Saccharomyces cerevisiae S288C: one gene and its partners. The gene in region 2 interacts genetically with the main gene of each other region. Each region holds a gene or a part of one and is shown on either strand. Other genes may lie near its edges. The genes, in order: LAT1, GCN1, GCN20 and RTG3.

Region 1 (3,739 bases), on a different chromosome or scaffold from region 2:
CAAATGGGATCCAGCCATAATGTGCTACATTATGAGTCAAAGTTAAAATTTTGGAAATACGTTCTTTAGATTCATCGCTTAAGATAAAAGATGGTAGGAAACTCATGGTTTATTTGTTAAAAGCTAATTTTGGCAAATATTGAGAGATAAGAGGGAACTAGTTTCTTTCACCGAACAATAATATACGAAAGTAGTATGCTAAACTTTATGCGTTATATCCTATATCCCACTCCTTTGTTAATTTCAACCAATTCCACATGAGGTGAAAAAACAAAGATGTTGACGCACCGTTTGACGTGATTTATTTATATCATTTTGAGACAGAAGAGAGAGAGGATTTAGATTCGAAGACAAGCGAAGTATTTCAGTATAATGTATACGTATTTGAGTATTTGAGTATTTTTTTTTTTTTTTTTTTAATTTTTTATATATACAAAATAACAAATTGATATTTTCTCCAAGATACGCATTTACTGGCGAATTTTATTTTCATTCTAACCTCACAATAGCATTTCCAAAGGATTTTCAATAACAGTTTTCAATTCCTTCATGAATTCTGCACCTTTGGCGCCATCAATGGTTCTATGATCAAAGGTCCCTGTTATGGTAACCTGGTTATCAAAGGAGAATCCGTTCTCAGCAGCGGCGTCTTCCACAGCGACCCTTTCAACAGTAGCGATGGCCAAGATTGTAGACTGTGGTGGGTTGATAATCGAAGTAAACATGTTAACAGCATTATTCATGCCCATATTGGATATGCAAATGGTCCCACCTTGGAATTCCTCTGGTGCCAATTTGTTTATTCTGGCACGCTTGACTAGTTCCTTGATTTCGTTAGAGATTTGCGACAAGCCCTTGGCCTCACAATTCTTGACAATTGGTGTCAATAATCCTGTTGGTGTGGCAACAGCGACTGAGACATCGACATTCTTGAATTTACGGATAACGTTCTCATTAGGTAACCAGTAGGCATTGGCATCTGGCACCCTCTTAGCCGCAACAGTGATGGCTTTTACTAATAGGTCATTAATGGACAGTTTGTACTTGTCGTTTGCTGTAGCGTTCAAGGACTGTCTCAATTTCAAAAGTTTGGAGATGGATATCTTGGAGGAAACGATGTATGATGGAATGCCTTGAGTAGATTGCAATAAACGTTCTCCAATGATGCTTCTCATGGTTGAAATTGGAACATCCTCATATGATGCTGTAGAAGAAGGCGATGGAGCAGAGCCAGCAGTAGTGCTTGAGGTAGCGGCGGCAGGAGTGGCGGCGGCAGCACCACTGGTTTGAGAAGACTGCTTAGACGACTTTTCTAGATATGACTCAATGTCAGCCTTGGTAATTCTACCGCGGGGTCCAGTGCCGTGAACATCCTTCAAAGAAATACCCTTTTCCAAGGCGATAGTCTTGGCAAGTGGAGAGGCAAAAATCCTACCTTGAGGAGCAGCAACGTCAGATTTCTTAGCTTCAGGTGCAGAAGTCTTGGTCTCTTCAGCTGGCGCTTCTTGTTTCTTTTCTGCCTGTGGTTCGGCAGGCTGAGCCTTCGTACTGGTCTTTGAATCAGAACCTGAATCCTCCAGCTTAAAGTCCTTAAAAGCTGGCACATCAGCTTTGTCCTCCACATAGACGGCAATAGGCTTGTTGACAGGAATGTCCTTTGTACCTTCAGGAACTAGAATCTTGGCTAAGTAACCATCTTCTTGGAACTCAAAGTCCATTTGAGCCTTGTCTGTTTCTATTTCGGCAATAACTTCACCGGGAGACAATTGGTCACCTTCCTTCTTAGTCCAAGCAGCAAGATTACCTTGCGTCATCGTAGGAGACAGTGCCGGCATACCAATAATGGTGTGCTCTGGGTACGATGCGTAGCATCTCAATTGCAGTCTCAATGATCTGGTGAGTACTGAACTTCTGGATATTCTTGGAACCACCCTGACAAAGGCAGACATAGTACGCTAATAACTATTAATTTTACTGGATGCAGTTTACAGCAATGGAAGATGTTGAGCGTGAACAAACAGGAAACGTAACAGCCTCTCTTCTAGTCGTTCCGGTTGGTTGTCTCGACCTCTTGTTGTTCTTTGCGTAACACGGGGGGTGAGAAGGGCCGGTCACGCTTCACGGATAGTAGAAACGGCAAAGCATAGTAGCAGATGACTTGTATGAGTTATTGAAGTTATGACATATGTAGTATTACATGAAGATATATAGTATGTGCAAACTGGAGGTGATCACCGGTACCAATTATCTAGGGTTCTCAGCCTCTTCCTTCTAACAGGCTTAGCGACCATCTGGAGCTGCAATTGCTTGGTTTTTTGTGCGGCGTTCTTCCTGCTGTCCATATATTGTTCTTCCCACTTGATAGGGATACTATTCTTACTGGCGTCATCTAACAGAGTCTGGCATGTCTGCCATGAGAATCTTACCATGTTGGCGGGCCAGCCCATAAGACTTGTCTGGTTGCGCTTCAGCCATGCGACTGTCTTCGGGTCGGAGGGGTATCCAGAACCCAGGATCTCATCGGGATCCCTCTTCAAGGATTCGACTAGTATATCTCTGGTCACTTTTGCAACGACACTCGCCACACTGACCATGCAGTAGAGCGAGTCTGCCTTCTTGGCGACCGTAAACTTGACACCAGGAAATCGTTGCTCCAGTTTCTTCTGATAGGACGCTGGTGGTCCAACAGTATCCACATACACGTGACTGAGCTTCACGTTCTGCTTTATCACGCCATCAATGAGTGCCATTGTGACATCGTGCGCCTGCTCATTCAAGTTATAGTTTCTCGTCGGTGGGAACTTGCTCATTCCTCTAGAGATATCCAACGGAGTGATGCACGTAGTTGCGTAGCCGATCTGGGTTAGTTCTTCGTTGTCCTGGTATATCTTGGAAAACAGCATTCTTCTGATGGGATCTGTAAGTTTTTTAGAGTCGTCAAACTCGTAGTTAGGGATTATAGTTTCGTCCTGATATTTCTGTGTAGAATAGGCTACTGCGTAGACCATTGGCCCTAATACGGGCCCTCTGCCAGCTTCATCGATACCCATTATTATTGGAGAGTCATTCTGTTCCAAGAGCGCGCTTGGGACAGGTGAAAAGTACGACTTAGTGTAAGGAGACTCCAAGGATGCTTCTACCGTGGGGGGTACCATTTAATCGTATCAATTTGGTGTGCAGTAGTTGTTTTCAAGGTTTTTCGACACTCTCATTAGCTATAACTGAATATTTATATTGGATTTTTCGCGTAGCGTAGTTTATTGGTGTAGAGAAAAAAAAAAAATTAAATGCCATTCTAATTATTTACAGTATATGTCTGATTTATTTACAAAAGCATTGGCAGGCGTCGCAAAATTTACTGCCTGTTTACATCATCCACACAGCCAAAGGGCAGAACCTCTTCTATCCTCTTCTTGTCGCAAAATAGCATGCACAATCTATCTATGCCAAGGCCAAAGCCACCTACTGGAGGCATACCGTATTTCATCGTCTCAACATACTGGTAGTCAATAACAGGCGATAAGGTCTCAGTTTTGTTTCCTGTCAATTCGTTAATCTGCTTTTGTTGTAGAAACTTCTGCAGTTGTAATTGGGGGCAATTTTCCTCTTCGTAAGCATTGATGTATTCCTTACCTTTGATGAAGACTTCGAATCTCTTCGTGACTTGCTTATTTTGCGGATCCGTCTTGGCTAAGGGCGATAATATTGCAGGTTGATGGTATATTACCGTAGGCAAGGT
Region 2 (6,159 bases):
CACTGTCCGTACTGGAGCTTAATGCTTCTTCAAATATAGGAATTAAATCCTTCGAGTTTTGTGAGCCATGTAACGTAATTAATTCAACACCAGCTTCTTTCATTTCTTGACGAACAATAGGCTCTCTGTCTACTAGACCTCCATCATCGACCAAAAATTTTATAATGTTAACGACAGTATCATCCTCTGCAGAAAAAGCCTTAGCCATGATTTTTAATGTAATAGCAACGGTACTTCTTCCTTGCCATGGATCTTTTTGTTCACTCGCAGAAACAAGAACCAAGCCAAATTGATCAAGAATTGGCTCCAATGGCTTTGCCTTTTCTTTATAAAAGTTCAGCAAATCATTTAAGTAATCTTTCGAGGAGTTCTCTTCAGAGGTAAACAGACTTACCGCACCAAATGCGTACGCGTTTGCCGCAAATAATCTCAAGCCACTATCATCCTGATTGAATAGTGGGAATAAGCTTTTTAGTAATTCATCGTTGACTACAAATTTGTTGAACTCCCAAATGAAATCTGCAATCTCGCGGTTGGAAGGATCCGAATCAAATCTGCAAATGAAAACTTCAGGTGAATATTTCATAAAAGGTTCTAATTCGAATTCGTTATCAAGAGTTTCTAATATTGTTGAACGGACAAATTGATTTGGTGATAGTAAATTTGATAGTATCATATCAAGGTCTTCTTGATTTGGTGCAACAGATATGCTTTGGCACAGAGCGTTGAAACAATCTTTAGCAATCTTCGCTTTTGAGGGTAAAGATAGAAGAGATAGTAACACTTCAACAATGGAAATTCTCGGAATGGAAGGATCCTCAAAAGCTTCAGCGTGTACAGAAATAATTTCCATGGCCAGTAACAGATGTTCTTCTTCTTCATCTTCTTCAACAAACTCAGCCTTAACAACAGGCTTGTCCGCATTCTTTAATGCAATCGCCTTACCCTTTTCTAAAACATTAATCAACAATGGTAAAATATATGTCAAACTGATGGAATCTATTGCTGCTTGGTTGGAGACGAACTTGATCCTAAAAAGAACTCTTGTAAGTAATTCAACCAGTGGTTCTTGTAAATAATCTTGCGAGATGCCATTAGCATTGTGCACACGCAAAGTCGCCAAACCTAAGAAAAGTCTGATATTACCTAATCTCTCGGAGACATTTTGAGAAAGCTGCAAGAACACATTATTTACATCCTCTGTTAGCTTTGAAATATTTGGTTCCGAGCATAGGTACAAAAGCTTTGTGACTGCCAAGGGGAACCAAGTAGCGATGCCATTTTGGACTAAGCAAGCAGCTTTGGAAAGTTCAGATACCAATCTAATACCACGCTTTAAACGAGTGGAAATTTCCGAAACGTGTGATCTAACTGCAGATTCTTTCGCTAACTGTTCATTAACGAGCTCTTGTTCCTCTTTTGAAAGTTTTTTCACATTCTTTTTGGCTTGCTCCTTCCTTATTTTTTGTTCCCACATTAGAGTTTCGTACTCTTTAGAATTTTTATTGGAAAGTTTCTTATTCATGCTTTCTTCCAGGACGTCAACCACCAGAACACCTTCCTCTCCTGCAAAAATTTCGAAGTCCTCTTCAGATAAACGTGAGAAATCATCCGCGGTTAAATCTGCTTCGATAGTCTTACAAAGGATCGGTGTGAACTCATTAGGCTGAATAAATGCTGCATAGGCAGCTGCTTGCAAACCGCATGCACCATAAATTGTATCTATCCATTCACAACTACCTGTGATTTCAAGAATCTTCTCCATGATAACGCTAGCATGTTCTTTGACAACTTCAGCTGGATCAAGCCTTGCACGTAAAACTAAACCAGCCCAGCCATTCTTAATGTTGAAAATATTCCATTGCGCTATGACCAGAGCATTGATTAATACCTTTATCGAGGCTTCCTTGTCAGGTAACTCAGACGTAATGGCCAGTAGTACAGAAGTGACATATTTAAAGGATGTATTTTGTTGAGGTATTAATTCTTGGACACGCATTCTCCTTTCAATTGCATCAATCACGCTAAACCCAATAAATTCGGGTTTCTTGTAGAACAATTCTTGTAGTAAATTAACAGCATGAATACGGTTTTCGATGGATAGCTCTGTTGATAATGCAGCAGTTAAGATAGCATCACCTATCGAAGAATTTTCAGGAAGGGTTTCTATGAGCTGCATAACACGATCATTTAGCTCAGTATTGTCCAATGCCAAAATTTTGTTTGTAAATTCAATTGATGCTAGAATACATGCATGCCCGTGAGTCTGATAATGTATGATGGAGTCTTTCACAAATTCCAAACAACCGTCTATAAAGTTTAAAATCACCTCTTCAGAGGCAGCATTGGAATTGTTCAAAAATGCGGCAAACCAGCATTTTTTCAAAGCAGGTTTTTTATCTGCAAAACCAGCTGATATAATTTTATCCAAGTCTTCAATAGGTTTGCCCAGACTAAAATAATGAACAAAAAAAGCGTTAAGCATTAGAGTCAAGGCTGCTTCATTACCTTCTTTACCAATATATGGGGACAGCCCTTTGCAGATTTTTTCTGAAACCTCATAGTGCGTTAAGGGTATTTCTATGAGAATTTTGGAAATAAGTGATTTGTAATCTGCATTTAAGTTCGATTTGATGTTCTTAAATATTTCGTCAATAAGCTTGGTCAAATCTTCCAAGGTAGTGTCAGTATTGGAAATTTTTCTCAATAAGATTATCATAGACTGAAGCGAGACGGATCTAACTACCTCTTTTGAGCTTTTAAATGACGAGAAGTATTGATTAATCAGTTTCGAGGAAGCAAAGGCATTTAAGAGATTTACTTTTTCAGGAGAAACACCAGCATATAACTCAGATAAAATCGAAAAACCAACCTCAGGAGATCTTAAAACTGCTTTTTCAATATTAGGGATGAAAAACTTAATGAATAACTCTTGTGAAACAAATTCTTTTAAAAATGGCTTCAAACCAATCTCTAAGCAAAAGGAAGATGGTGGGTTTTTGCCTAAAAACACTTCTTTGCCCAAATATTCGCAATATTTCTCTGCAGAATTTTCCTTTAAAACGGAGTGCAGAGCTGGTTGCCTCGATAATAACTGAAGTGCAGCCTGAGTTAGTGCACCCATTATCATAACTACTCCAACACTGGTTATCTTCAGCTTAGAGTAGCTCTCCAGTACAGTTTTAATTGAAATCTTCATGAAGGAAATACTGTCGTCATTATCCTTCAAGCACTTAAGGAATGCTTTGACCGTTGTTTGGAAAATGCAATAACGAATTCTCTTTCTATGCTGGTTCTGCTTATCTTGGGATTTCTTGCCTTCTTCTTGATTGTCAAGAATAGTTTCCACACCGAACGTTGCATAAGAATGGGCGACCAACAATTTTGGAATGTACTCTTCAAATAAATTAGAATTATGCGACACAAAAATCAAGAAAGAATTAATCCAATCTAACAAATTAAGGTAATCAGCGACTGCTTTGGTAGCCGGATTACTGATGACCACGTCGGAAATGAATCGGATAAAGTTTTCTAGGAGACATGGCTCTAGATTTAAGATGTCAAGCAATATTGAAGTTACCAAACTTTTAGACCTATTGTCTTCGTAAATCGTGAAGGTATTCAATAAAACGAAAGCAATTTCAGATAATTGAGGTTTTTCCAATGTTTCTTGACGAACTAATTGTGATATATCTTGCAAAAAGGGAACTCTTTTAGACACGTGTGATTCGCGGGTGCCTTTCTCTAAAACAGGGGATATATCTTCCCAGTTTAAGATAGCTGTCATCACTGTAGGAGTTATTGGTGTCAGTCAGAGCTTTGTTTGTCTTAATGATCTACTTCAGGTTTAATAAGTACAACTCAAAGATCTTTTCGAAGGTTTAAATTATTCAAATTTTTCATTCGTACGTAACGACTTTATTGAGAAGCTCAATGACGGTAGTTGAAATTTCATAGCATTATATCAACAAATAAATCTGTATTACAATTACCAGCTCGCAGGTAATGCGGAAGCTTAACAAGAGGGTGTTTAGACCAACCTGTGTACAACCTTACTCTTAGTTACTATTTATAAATAGATACACAATTACATAGACACAGAGATGCTTTGATGAGAGTGATAACCAACGACAAAAGAGAGCTTACCATTTCTGAAAAGGTAACCAAACATCGTTGACAATGCCTTCGCTGTTTACCACGAAATAATATGGAAATTGTCCCATTGTGATACAAGCGTGTTGAGGAAGGACGGCAATTTTGCTGCCTAATTTTAATGGAGTAGTTTCGTTCCAGTTTCTTATTGGCCTCAGTATCCCGTGTTCTTGAGAGACCCTTGCTACATACCATTCCCTACTGAAACTCTCGGATTTTAACACATGTTCCAAATCAGCACATATTCCAAACCCTTTTATTGAGGATGCTTCTCGCGTTAGACACATTACACCTGTATTACTCAACAATTCACCTCTAGAAGGGTAAGATGATAGTACTGTTCCTAATACAAAACCAGACAATTCGTGATCTTGGACACAGCCTGTTGCCACCTGTTGCAGGTCATACATGCAGTAATTACCGCAGTGGATTTCAAGCGTACTAACTAATTGAGTAGTAATGAATTTAACAAGGGTACTTTTATTATCGAGTTTCAAAGAATTGGAAGTCGGAGTAGCGCCCACAGAAAGTGTTAATTTAGAAGGATCAAACTGAGGATCCACAGAGCACAAAACTTTAGCGGCAGAATTGACTGCTTTCACTTCTTCCATCAAAAGATTCTGAGTGTCGTTGATCGAGGTTGAAGAGTAGCTGTGTCCGGCATGAGCATAAAACCCATATGGCTCAATTACTTCTTTAATTTCTGAGGAAGTCAGTTTTTTTAAAAGACTCAAAAATTCTGGAGAGTCGAAAGCAAGACCTGCCCTCTTAGTCCCCATATCAACCTTGATAAAAACCGACCATTTCTTGCCGGAAGCAGGCCTACCGAAATTCTTTAAATTCTCCAAGTGTTCAATGTTATCAACAAAAACCTGAAAATTATTCACCCTTCTTGACAAATTGCTCAAAAGAGGAATAAACTCTGGAACGCAACAGGGTAAACTATATGTTATATCGTCAATATAATCCGAACATTGTCTATCTTGATAATTAAGAAGTTCTTCTGCTTCTTTCAAAGTTGATACTAATATGGCTCTTGTAGTGCGTTTAGCCAATGGAAGTCCGTGGCCCAATTGTTTCAAAGTTCCCTTTGCTGTCTTATGCGTTTTTACGTGTGCACGAAATTTGATTGGTACGCCACATTCCTGGCTGAGCTTTTCAACGTTGTTCAACATTGTCGTACAATTCTTATCAAATTTTTCTTCATTAATAACGAAATTGGGTGTGGGTAAATCTCTGACTGAGCACCCTTTATATTGAGATAGAACATCGCTCATTTCAAACTCTTCTTAGGAGCAATATTATACTTCCTTATCAAGAAATGAAGTATTTATGTGCACTTAATTCCCTTTCGTGTTGAATAAAATTGACAGTAAATAGTGGAAAGAAATCTTTTCACTCAAAAGCTTTATATATGTACACATATTGTTGTTCCATGGTTTTGAGAGATATTTTAACTCCGTCTTATCACTCTCCGACGGATTCGGCCCGATGTAAAAATTGTATTGCTAGTTATGTTCCGACATTTGGTTATGCTATATCGTGGGATGTATTCAATTTTCGTGTTATGATTAGTCTGTGCCTCATTATCTGAATTTGAATTGTCCTGAGCTGACCTGGTCTGCCCGCTTCGATAAACTGCAAATACAGGAACCAGATAACCTTATCAGAAAGTCAATAGTAGACGAAATACTAGTGTGCGGAAACTAGTATGATACAAGATGTTGTCTTATCAACGAATACAGCAAATGCAACCTATACTAATAACTTACATAGTCATATTCACCGGGTAATTTCGGTTGAATCTGTTCACAAAGCAATATTTCATAAGCAATAAACCTTTGCAATGAGTAGCTTTTTGGTGCCAACTGTTTTGATAGCAAAGAAACAGAAAAGTGGCGCCCATATGGAAGCAATCCGTTTTGAGATGTATAGCAGCATATTCTTGGATTATTAAGAACTTTATATGTGCGAGTAACTATCCTGGGACGTAGCGGTCTATGGTGA
Region 3 (5,674 bases), on a different chromosome or scaffold from region 2:
TTTAATGGACTCTTCGCCAGACAAGCCACCTTTAACCATGTATTTTTGGCGGGCACTTGGGACTTGGGTCAATTCCTCTGCTTTGCTTTTCAAATCTGCTGAAGTAGCATCAGTGGAAAGTGTTATTGGGTAAACTTTACCAGAATGTCTAATATTGAACTCAAACGTTTCTCCGCTCATATTTTAACACAAGGATAGGTAGGGCTAATTTCCTTATTTTTATATCCTCTTAGAGAACGAAATCTCGTATTTCAATTGCACCAATTACTTGCAGTGGCAAAATTCGAAAAGCACTTCACCCTTCTTGTAGATTTTATGTTTTATATTAGCCACTACTTTTTTACGTAAAAAGTGATACATATACCAATGACCCAGAATGCCCAGTTAGGTCAATTAGATTCCAATACAAGTAGTCAAAAAAAAAAAGTATCATGGGGCTATGAATGCATACTTAATTTAGGCTTCTATGGAAAATATATTCTGAGGTGCTTCCTAAATAATCAATGCTTTTTAACCACACCTGCAGCATCAGCAGACTGCAAGATGTAATCTCTATAGTCGTAAATTGTACCTTCGAACCTCTTGACAGTACCTTGCTCTGAAACCCAAATCTCTTTACAAACAGAGTCAATAACAGAGATATCATGGGAAACCATTAAGACACCACCGTTGAAATTTTTCAAGGCTTCTACCAAAGCGTCTAGACCAGTGGTATCCAAATGGTTAGAAGGTTCATCCAGAACCAAAATGTGTGGATTATTTAAACACAATGCAGCGAATGCTACACGAGATTTTTGACCACCGGATAATAATTGCATCTTTTGTAGACCCAGGGTACCAGTGATACCAAATGAACCTAGATGACGTCTATACTCTTCATCAGTTTTACCTGGGAAGGATTTGGACATCCAGTCCACTGCAGACGTGGTCAAATCCATAGAATCCACATGATGTTGAGTGAAGTAGCCTATACGTAATCTTGGGTTTCTTGATACAAAGCCTTTTAGTGGTCTTAACTGCTCCATCATAATCTTCAACAGTGTAGTCTTACCACAACCATTGGCACCTACAAGGGCAATTCTGGAATCCATTTGAACGTCCAGGTTAACATCTTTCAATAATAGGTTGTTTTCATCATAACCAAAGGAAACGTCTTGCAATTGGATAATTGGTGGAGACAATTTATCACATTCAGGGAATTTGAAATCAATGGTTTTGTCTTGTTCAGGTGGCTCCAAAACGGGCAATTTTTCCAATTTCTTAATTCTTGATTGAGCTTCCTGTGATTTGGCAGCATTGTATCTGTATTTGTCAATAAACTCTTGCAAGTGCTTTCTGTAAACCATTTGGTTATCATACTCACGTTGAGCATTCTTTCTACGTTCCTCCTTTGTGGTGTAAAAGGTATCGAAATCTTGGCCTCTGTAATAGTCTAGTCTTTCGTTGTGTTGATAAATGATATCTGTAGCCACTTCATTCAAGAATGCACGGTCGTGAGAAACTGTCAAAACTGTATTTGGATATGTTTTCAAATACTCTGCTAAATAAGCGATGGATGGCACATCCAACATATTGGAAGGTTCATCTAACAACAAAAGATCTGGTTGACAGAATAAGGCTCTTGCCAAGGACAATCTCATTCTCCAACCACCGGAAAAGGAATTAGTGGGTTGTTGCTGTGCCTCCGTACTGAACCCCAAACCATATAAGATTGATGCTGCCCTAGCTTCAGCCTTGTCAGATTCCATATCGACTAATTTGTCAGAAATCTGTATCAAATGGTTATCCAAGTCTTCTCTTTCATTGTCCAATTTTTTAACTTCTAAACTGTCTTCTTCGAATTCCTGTCTTAATACATCCATTTCCTTTAATCTTTCATTGATCTTGGCTTCTTCACTTAATAGTTGTTTTCTCCAAACGTCTGCATCCAGCACACTTTGTAAAGCCTTTGTATCATCACCTCTTAACTCTTGTTCCACGTGTAAAATCGAAACATGTTTGGGGACGTTCAGCTCTCTTCTAGATAGAGCCCTTAACAAAGTAGATTTACCAATACCATTTTGGCCCACAAGACCATATCTGTGACCAAAACTTAGAGTCAATTGGGCGTTGGACAAAATTCTTTGACCGTCACCAACGTACAAGTCGAAAGTGTCAATATGGATATCCTTGGATTTACCAGCGGATGAACCGAATTCTAAAGGGTTGATTTGCAAAAAGAAAGAATCGTAATCCTCCTCCTTTTGGTCATTGATCAATTTAGAAGCCTCGTATTTAACAAATTTGTTATTTCTCTTGGCGACTTTCTTTGCGATCTTTTGTTCAGCCTTGGCCAGTTTTTTCAAATCAACTCTTGTTTCCATCTTTCTACCAGTATGTTCGATGTCACCGTTCACACCCAGCATGCTTAATGAGACGTTGATATCGGATTTACTGTTATGACTCTTTAAGACATTAATATCAAGTAATCTCTTGGACGTATCACCGGTCAATTCCAATTTGGCTTCGTTCTCCTTTAGTTGAGTAGTCAATTGCTTCAAAATACTTTCCGATAGTTCTTTAACTTTAGCCTTTGACGCACCCGCATCAATCAATAAATCGGACACAAATTGCACTTCAGTGGACAAATCTACCTGCTTACTTTGAACAGCATCAAAAGTTATTCCGGACAAGTGGTTAAAGTAGCCCACTGCGTAATCCGTGACGATAGGGTCAATACTAGAAGCAGCTTTTCTCACTTGCGAACCGATGCTTGCCATTTCAAAAAAGTTATTTACCTTTTGTGCTATGAATCGAAGTTAACGTTTTAGCGCTTCAAAACGACTAGTCTTAGCTAGCTTACTGCAGAATATATATTTCTCTTTTCAAATGTCTTTCATTTTCTACTAGATCTAATAATACGAAAAATTTTCAGGAACAAAAAAATAAAAATCAGAAAAAAAAGAAACTGCGCAAGCCCGGAATCGAACCGGGGGCCCAACGATGGCAACGTTGGATTTTACCACTAAACCACTTGCGCTTGTTTTCTTGTGAAAACTATCCTTGGATAAATCAATAATAATGTTTGTAACTTCTCTAACCAATTTGAGATGTAACGAATGATAATTAGTGTGTTGGAATAAAAATCCACTATCGTCTATCAACTAATAGTTATATTATCAATATATTATCATATACGGTGTAAAGATGATGACATAAGTTATGAGAAGCTGTCATCGAAGTTAGAGGAAGCTGAAGTGCAAGGATTGATAATGCAATAGGATAATGAAACATATAAAACGGAATGAGGAATAATCGTAATATTAGTATGTAGAAATATAGATTCCATTTCGAGGATTCCTATATCATCGAGGAGAACTTCTAGTATATCCTGTATACATAATATTATGGCCTTTATCAACAATGGAATCCCAACAATTATCTCAAAATTCGCCAAATAGTCAAGTATTATAGCCTTGATCAATAATGGGATCCAATAATTATTAAACTATTCACCCAATCTTCACAGATCTTCTAGTCAACGAGGGAAAATCCATATTTCTAAATAGTATTATTTATCCTTGCACTTCAACTTCCATTGAAGCTGATGATTGTTTCTTAATTTTCATGTTATCTTCTGGCAGCGTATATGAGATTATACTAATTATATGAAAATATATTAATAGTATAGATACTAATCGGTAAACGATAATCGACTCTCATCACAACAAAATGCTTTTGCAAATATTGAGGAAATTATATATGTTTATTAAACATATATATCCTGTGTATTTATAGAGGCTTTCCTCCAACATTTTATTATTTTTGGCAAATAATACAGTAGCTTAGGATATCTTACGCACGCAACTGCAGGAAAAGAACGTCAAGACATTCTGTGAGTTGTTTTCCCGCAAAATGTTCCACCGTCGTTACTTTTTCAATTTCATAAACATATATCAGAATGGAAAAAGCCTTCATAAATGAGCTTCGAATTTTTGCGCAATCTCGAATATAAGAAGCATGTATATTTGTCATCTTGCTTTCATTGGAAGCAAAAGGGCAAAGTTTCAATCTTGTGCATGTAACCTCAGTAGTAATCTATAAGTGTGAGATATATCTGTCAATTTTTGCAGACCATTAACATTTTCCAAATACATCTTGAACTCTTCATCTTCGAGGGGAATTGTCTCCGTCTGGAATTTCTGCCTAATCAATTTGATAGTCTCTTTATGATGCATTAGAATGTTTCCTCTTAATTGGGCGACAATGTAATTTAAAGAGTCTTCGGAGTAAGACAATAAATCCATGGATTCAAGGGTTACCTGCTTGGATTCCTGTAAACTTTTCCGGAGCATTGAATTTTGGCGCTTCAACACTCCTAGCATAACGTCATCTTTCGCATTTTCATCCAGATTGTTGCTTAGTTGCTCTTTCTCAGTAATAGGAGCTTTCCCTCTTTGTTCTAGAAATCTATTAAATAATGCAATATTTTCCGTGGTATCGTGAGGTTCTTCAGATGTCTCATACTTGTTTAAGCTTCCGGATAATATGTCTATGTTCCTTAGTATTTTCGCCTTTTCTGCTTGATTTTCCCTCAACTGTTTCACTAGCTTGTTAACTAACAAGTACATATGATTCAAGTTTTCTGCTTGAGGAGACATATATACTTGCTGCTGCTGCTGCTGCTGCTGTTGTTGTTGTTGCATTGACAAAACGTTGATTTGGTCACTCATATCTAAACCTTGGCTTGAACTTCTTGTAGAATCAATATGTATTACTTCCCATATATGTCGTAATAAAGGGCACCTCTGCAGAGTTCATAAAGAATGCCGTTTTTGCTTGCGCGCCTTAATTATCTGTATTCAGTTCGATTTTACAAAAATATATACAAGGTTCCGCCTAACCTTCTAGTCGTTGCGGATATGGACGATATTATCTACCTTAATTAAATGATTATCTATATCCCTGCCATTCAACAAATCATTGCTGCGAAACTTCTCTCGTCCTTCTGCAATAGTCGTGACTAACCCTGATTGCAAATGCCTTTTGGCCACCCTTTCTTCGGTGGCCTCATAGTCTATGTCAATCTTATAAACAAGAAGTGCTCCCGTATCAGCTAATGTTTTGTAAATTTTCTTCCAGTTTTCTTGGTCATACAGTAGGTATAACCCTTCAAGTATAACTATCCTTGTAAATTTGGAAATACAGTACTGATCTGGAGTTGGGTCTTTTAGTGCATGGTTAAATCCTGGAACAAAGATATCAGGAATTGTTTGGCTAAAAGTTTTGGATAACTTCTCAAAAACGCTTGAAGTGGAGTAAAATTTATGATGTGAGGAGACCTTACATAGGGACGTCTTGGCTAGAATTTTACACAATTGTAAGAAATTGTTACTGTCAAACGTTGAGGGCGAACCTCTTCTTTTATGGGCAGTTTGTGGGTCTTTGAATAGGTCTAGACATCTGCGAGATAAGTGAAAACCATCCATTGGGACTATTTGCGCTATATTGATACTATCCTGGGCCAACTTGTTAACATTGACTGGATTATCAACTGCTGCGATTCTTATGGCATTCGCAGTACCACCTCTGGCAACTACTGCGGTACATTCTTCATTATTTGATGTAAGGGCTGAGTACTTGACTGGTTGAAAATTAACATCCTCAACATGATCTTTAAACAGCCCCTGATTTT
Region 4 (4,975 bases), on a different chromosome or scaffold from region 2:
GGGTACCCTTGGGTATCCTTTAAATTTGAGACAGATCCAACTATATTTTCCGCCTGAGCTGCCTTACCACCGCTGGCATTTGTCATAGAAGTCTCGTTATTGGCATTTAAGCCCACTGGCGCATGGCTCGCTGGCGATGAGGAATTTTGTCCAGAGATATTAAAAATCCTTAAATATCCATTCTTTTCACCAACTCCAATCATACCAATTTCTGATTCTGAATAGTCTAAGCAGGTGATACTGCCGAAGTCTTTCACAGTGTGTAATTTAATAATTGATTCATCAGATTCATTTTCCGGATCCACTTTATAGTGGGTCACTTCATCTCTTGTAGGGTTCACTGAAAGATAATCAATCAAATTATCATATGACCAATGGGTCACTTTTTTGATGAGACCCATGTTTATTCTTCTATACGTTCGTGATACTGCACTTACGACTACCAGTAACATCAGAATAACCATAGAGCTTATGCTATCTTGAAATATATCATCGCCGTAAAGTATGATGTGTAGCGCATTAGTCTTCTGCATTCATATTATCAGTGGTATACCGTTTGGTATATGCTTTCCAATCATGAAGTGTTGGCTCTACTCTATATAAATTCGACATCCATTGATTTTCTCAATAAATGAGTTACCCAAGTAAGCTTTCCATTGATACAAGTGATCTACATTCTTGCGACGCCAAATTATAAAGCACTAAAAATCATATCATACCCAATTGCGGGCAGCACATGTATATATTATACACTACTTATAACTAACCTTCTTCATATATAACAATATGCCTGATAATACTAATGCATTTAAATCATATCATGAAAGAAAATTACATGGGTTTTATTGACATAATTGCATTTAGAATACATAAAATTCTAAAGAATTAATATATCCAAAGTATTAGACATAACCAAGAATAATAGTGAATAATTTTAGATTTTGTTACATATAATTCTGCTTGCCTATCTCTTCCACTCTTTTCAAAACGTTGCATGTAAGCGTTACTAATATTCCGCTTTATTTTGTTGCAATTCCTAATTTTTTCATTACATTATCTTGCGAGTACGGAAGCGATTAACGTTCTCCCAATAGAAGGAACAAACATAGATATTGAAGTTTTACTGCTTTTGCTTACCTGACCTTTTTCAAATTTAATTTTTTCCCGCTAATAAGACCATAAACTACCCCGAACCAAATTCTAAAAGATAGTCAGCTGGATTAGAGTTGTCATCTCCAAACATTAATTTTGCATTATCTTCGGCTTCAATCAAATCGCCTGATAAGAACTCCTTTAATTCTTCATGAATGTTTGTATGTGGATGACTCTCCATAGTGCCAGCATGATTGTGGTTACCGACCGAATCATATAACGGTGGCTCCCAATTGTGCAATTCAGCCTTACTATTTTGTTCATTCATCAAAGCATTTGGGACAGATCTAATATCTATAATTCTTTCCTCACTATTCTCGCTATTATTTTGCCCCGAACTGGCATGGTGGTTATTGGTAAAAGGAGATAATGCTGCGACAGAACTTTTCTTCTCTTCCAATTCTTTTATCTTCGCCAATAACGCCTTCTTTTTTCGTGCTTGTATTTCTAAAATTTCGGCCAGGTATTGTAAATATTCGACCGTTCTATCCAAAATGATACCCTTATTTGGTTTGATTTGTTTACCTAGGTCATCGTAATTCAATAAAGATGGTGGAACCAACTGGCCGAGTTCTTTTATCTTTTGCTTTATTAATTCTCTTCTTCTCCTTTCGACGGCATTATGAAACTCTCTTTTGCGCCTCAGTTTCTCATCAGAAGTTAACCCGCCTAAAATCTTTGGAACACTTCCAGGTCCTATATTTTCAGTCATATTGCTACTTATTGAAGTGTGTCTTGTTCTGGGTGTGTTTATGCTACCATGCCTAAAAGAAGATGAAAGGAAACTTCCTGCACGAAATGACGATGATGGTGATCTTACCTTTGGGGAATATGTGGAAGATACGGATGCTGGGCCCAAGCTTTGTGGATTATAAGAAAATGATGATGAATATGTGTTTGGTGTCATCATATCAGAATTGATGCTAGAAGATAAAGAGGAGCTCAAATCATCAGTTAAGTTATACATTGTGTCATCGGTGCCATGCTGAAATAAAAAGTCATGTGGTAACTCAGCTTTTAAGCCTTCTTGTTGCTGTAATGGAGTATTCATTGCTCTATCCACAGGTGAGTCGTAAGCCATAGAATAAGATGATCTCAAGGGACCCTGCCCTATGGAAGATATGGAATTTTGAGTGACAGGTCTACCGCCTTGGCTTGTTCTAAACATATCATCCAGGTAAGACGATTGCGATTCTGCTTCCTCATATATGGTCGAAGCTGTAGGAGTTTGTGAATTGGACCTCGCTTGACTGCCCATTAAGTTATTATTATCGTTAGAGTTGTGCGTATTGATGTATGAGAGTTTTTCATGCTGTTGGGCAGGAGTCTCACCACCTGGGTAGGCACTTCCGTGTATCTTGTAATCATCATTGTGGTGTGGAGTGGGTGTCACTAACGAAAAATCTAAAGTTTCCTGGAGGACTTTTGTCTGGTTCATTAATTCGTCCAGTAGACGTTGGTTCTCAGCCTCACTTTCGTTATTGTTCATCATTCTTCACTTATTTAAGAAGTAGGTTCGCCTGACAAAAAATAAGAGTATTCTATTAAAGGATACTTGTCAACTAAGTAATGTGAATGCAGTAATGTCGTTTTTGTTATCTTATATATGCTCACGTAAGACAGAAATTCGGATTGTGAAAAATTCCTTGATGATTCCGTGCAGCCTCTAGCCAAAATAGCAACTGCGAGTAAAAAATAATGTACTAACCTGCAGTAATATTGGAGATCCTACTGTCCGGACCGAGTAGTACAATTGTTAGTTTCTGTTGCTCATAAGAAGGCTTTTCTAATCACCATGGCTTTATTATTTCAAAAGTAACTTGCGAAGAGTCACATCCCGCGGAACGGCCCGCAATCGTGACCCGGCAAAAGGCGATTGTAATGAAGAGGGAGTATTGGTCAAGACTTGTACTATACTGAAATAGGAAGAAGATTGAATAAATTTGCATTCTAATTGCGTTCGGTAGTTTAGAGTAGGACTTAGATTACCTGTATTGTCTGCAGTTGCGTTTTTTTTTTTTGCTGGTAAAAAAAAAGAACAAGTGTGGAGAATATGAGCGAGGAACCACCTTCTGACCAGGTCAATAGTCTCCGTGACTCATTGAATCGATGGAATCAAACAAGACAGCAGAACTCGCAGGGTTTTAATGAATCTGCGAAGACATTGTTCTCAAGCTGGGCGGATTCTCTCAATACCAGGGCCCAGGATATATATCAGACGTTGCCTGTATCTAGACAGGACTTGGTGCAAGACCAGGAGCCGTCGTGGTTCCAATTGTCAAGAACGGAAAGAATGGTACTTTTTGTCTGTTTTCTTTTGGGTGCAACAGCCTGTTTCACTCTTTGTACTTTCCTTTTCCCCGTTCTAGCCGCTAAACCAAGAAAGTTTGGTTTACTATGGACAATGGGGTCCCTACTATTTGTTCTTGCGTTTGGGGTACTTATGGGACCACTCGCGTACTTAAAACATTTGACTGCAAGGGAAAGGCTGCCTTTTTCGATGTTCTTTTTCGCCACATGCTTCATGACGATTTATTTCGCAGCCTTTTCCAAGAACACGGTGCTGACTATTACATGTGCTCTTCTTGAATTAGTTGCCGTCATTTATTATGCTATTTCATATTTCCCATTCGGTGCAACAGGTTTGAGGATGTTAAGCTCTGCTGGTGTCAATTCGGCAAGAGGTGTTCTGCGCATCTGAATTATCATTCATAGTGCATATTGAATTGATTAGTTGAAGAAGAAAAATAATGTTTATGTTATAAGAAACAATAATAAAGAGATTTATAACCTAACCTAATTAAATAGCATGTAGTCAACAAAAAGGGAGTAAAACATGCAGTGGCTCTATATATATAATTATCGTAGAATAATTCAAAAAAAAATAAAAAACGAAAAAATTCATTCTTCATCACTCATCAAAGGCACTATTTCGTCATAACGCGGAGGCTCGTTACCATGAGAGAGTAGCGAATCTGCGGAGCTCGAACTTACTATTCCTTCTTGTTCTTCATCATCTTTTACATTCGCTAAAGTGTAACCCTTTTTGAAAAATTCGTTCTGTTTGTCCTTAGAGTTTTCAGTGGTAGCGTTTGGAATCCTCACAGTACCATTTGCTTGTGATAAGCCATTTGTTGGTGATGAATTGTGAGATCTATTGACGGGCGATGGAGTGCTCAATAATTTATCGAGATTATTGAATCTTGACCTGTCATTCACTGACGTTGCTCTTGCTCTAGCAACACCTTGGCCACTATTGCCCGAAACAAATGCGGAATTCGAAATACTGCCGTTCATGGCATTGGCATTTGAAATACTGTTCCGATTAACATTTGGCACACCGGCATCATCGCTGTATCCGGATGGCCCACTAACTGACGTAGTTCTTGATAAGTTCAATTGTTGAATAGATAGTAAATCAGGGTCATACGAGGCCATGATATTAGGTGATCCCATCGGTGAGACAATGGGAGAAGCTGGAACGGATATGGCTTCTTCAAAAGTTGGCGGAGGTGGACATGTGTTACCAAAAAAGTCGCTGTTCATACTTAGAGGAACCTGGTTGCCTTTGCCTTCCATTGTGGCCATATCATAAGTGGGTAACTCCATATTACCACTGTTGCACTGTTCAGACACCAGGAATATGGGCGTATCGATTAGAACCTCATAATGTCTTAATTTGGACGGACACTCAGGATCAGGTTTACTGATTCGTAGCATAATTTCCAGCTTATGTCTACAGTAAACATTACTGAAGTGTAAACTATCCAAGTACAAGCCTCTTTTCGGTGTGTTTAATCTGGTATGTGTTTTCACGGGCAAA

What was found.
Region 1: mutations in GCN1 (region 2) and LAT1 together harm fitness more than expected from each alone (negative genetic interaction), as found in Saccharomyces cerevisiae (3 studies listed by BioGRID).
Region 3: mutations in GCN1 (region 2) and GCN20 together harm fitness less than expected from each alone (positive genetic interaction), as found in Saccharomyces cerevisiae (3 studies listed by BioGRID, with this or other methods).
Region 4: mutations in GCN1 (region 2) and RTG3 together harm fitness more than expected from each alone (negative genetic interaction), as found in Saccharomyces cerevisiae (3 studies listed by BioGRID).

Annotation. Positions count from the first base shown.
Region 1 is NC_001146.8:489,733-493,471, reverse strand, and holds LAT1 (dihydrolipoyllysine-residue acetyltransferase), read right to left. Parts: upstream 1,950-3,739; coding exon 501-1,949; downstream 1-500. Other genes in the region: TOM7 (Tom7p), read right to left, coding at 1-106; ribonuclease H2 catalytic subunit RNH201, read right to left, coding at 2,232-3,155; lysine--tRNA ligase MSK1, read right to left, coding at 3,356-3,739. UniProt on the Saccharomyces cerevisiae protein: The pyruvate dehydrogenase complex catalyzes the overall conversion of pyruvate to acetyl-CoA and CO(2).
Region 2 is NC_001139.9:129,153-135,311, reverse strand, and holds the start of GCN1 (Gcn1p), read right to left. Parts: upstream 3,788-6,159; coding exon 1-3,787. Other genes in the region: D-serine ammonia-lyase DSD1, read right to left, coding at 4,143-5,429; MDS3 (Mds3p), read right to left, coding at 6,151-6,159. UniProt on the Saccharomyces cerevisiae protein: Ribosome collision sensor that activates a translation quality control pathway when a ribosome has stalled during translation. Directly binds to the ribosome and acts as a sentinel for colliding ribosomes.
Region 3 is NC_001138.5:159,573-165,246, reverse strand, and holds GCN20 (putative AAA family ATPase GCN20), read right to left. Parts: upstream 2,760-5,674; coding exon 501-2,759; downstream 1-500. Other genes in the region: ubiquitin-specific protease UBP6, read right to left, coding at 1-180; FAR7 (Far7p), read right to left, coding at 4,047-4,712; YFH7 (Yfh7p), read right to left, coding at 4,887-5,674. UniProt on the Saccharomyces cerevisiae protein: Acts as a positive activator of the GCN2 protein kinase activity in response to in response to low amino acid, carbon, or purine availability.
Region 4 is NC_001134.8:20,893-25,867, forward strand, and holds RTG3 (Rtg3p), read right to left. Parts: upstream 2,645-4,975; coding exon 1,184-2,644; downstream 1-1,183. Other genes in the region: SEA4 (Sea4p), read right to left, coding at 1-401; SFT2 (Sft2p), read left to right, coding at 3,206-3,853; ECM21 (Ecm21p), read right to left, coding at 4,054-4,975. UniProt on the Saccharomyces cerevisiae protein: Transcription factor that regulates CIT2 gene expression. Binds to two identical sites oriented as inverted repeats 28 bp apart in a regulatory upstream activation sequence element (UASR) in the CIT2 promoter. The core binding site is 5'-GGTCAC-3'.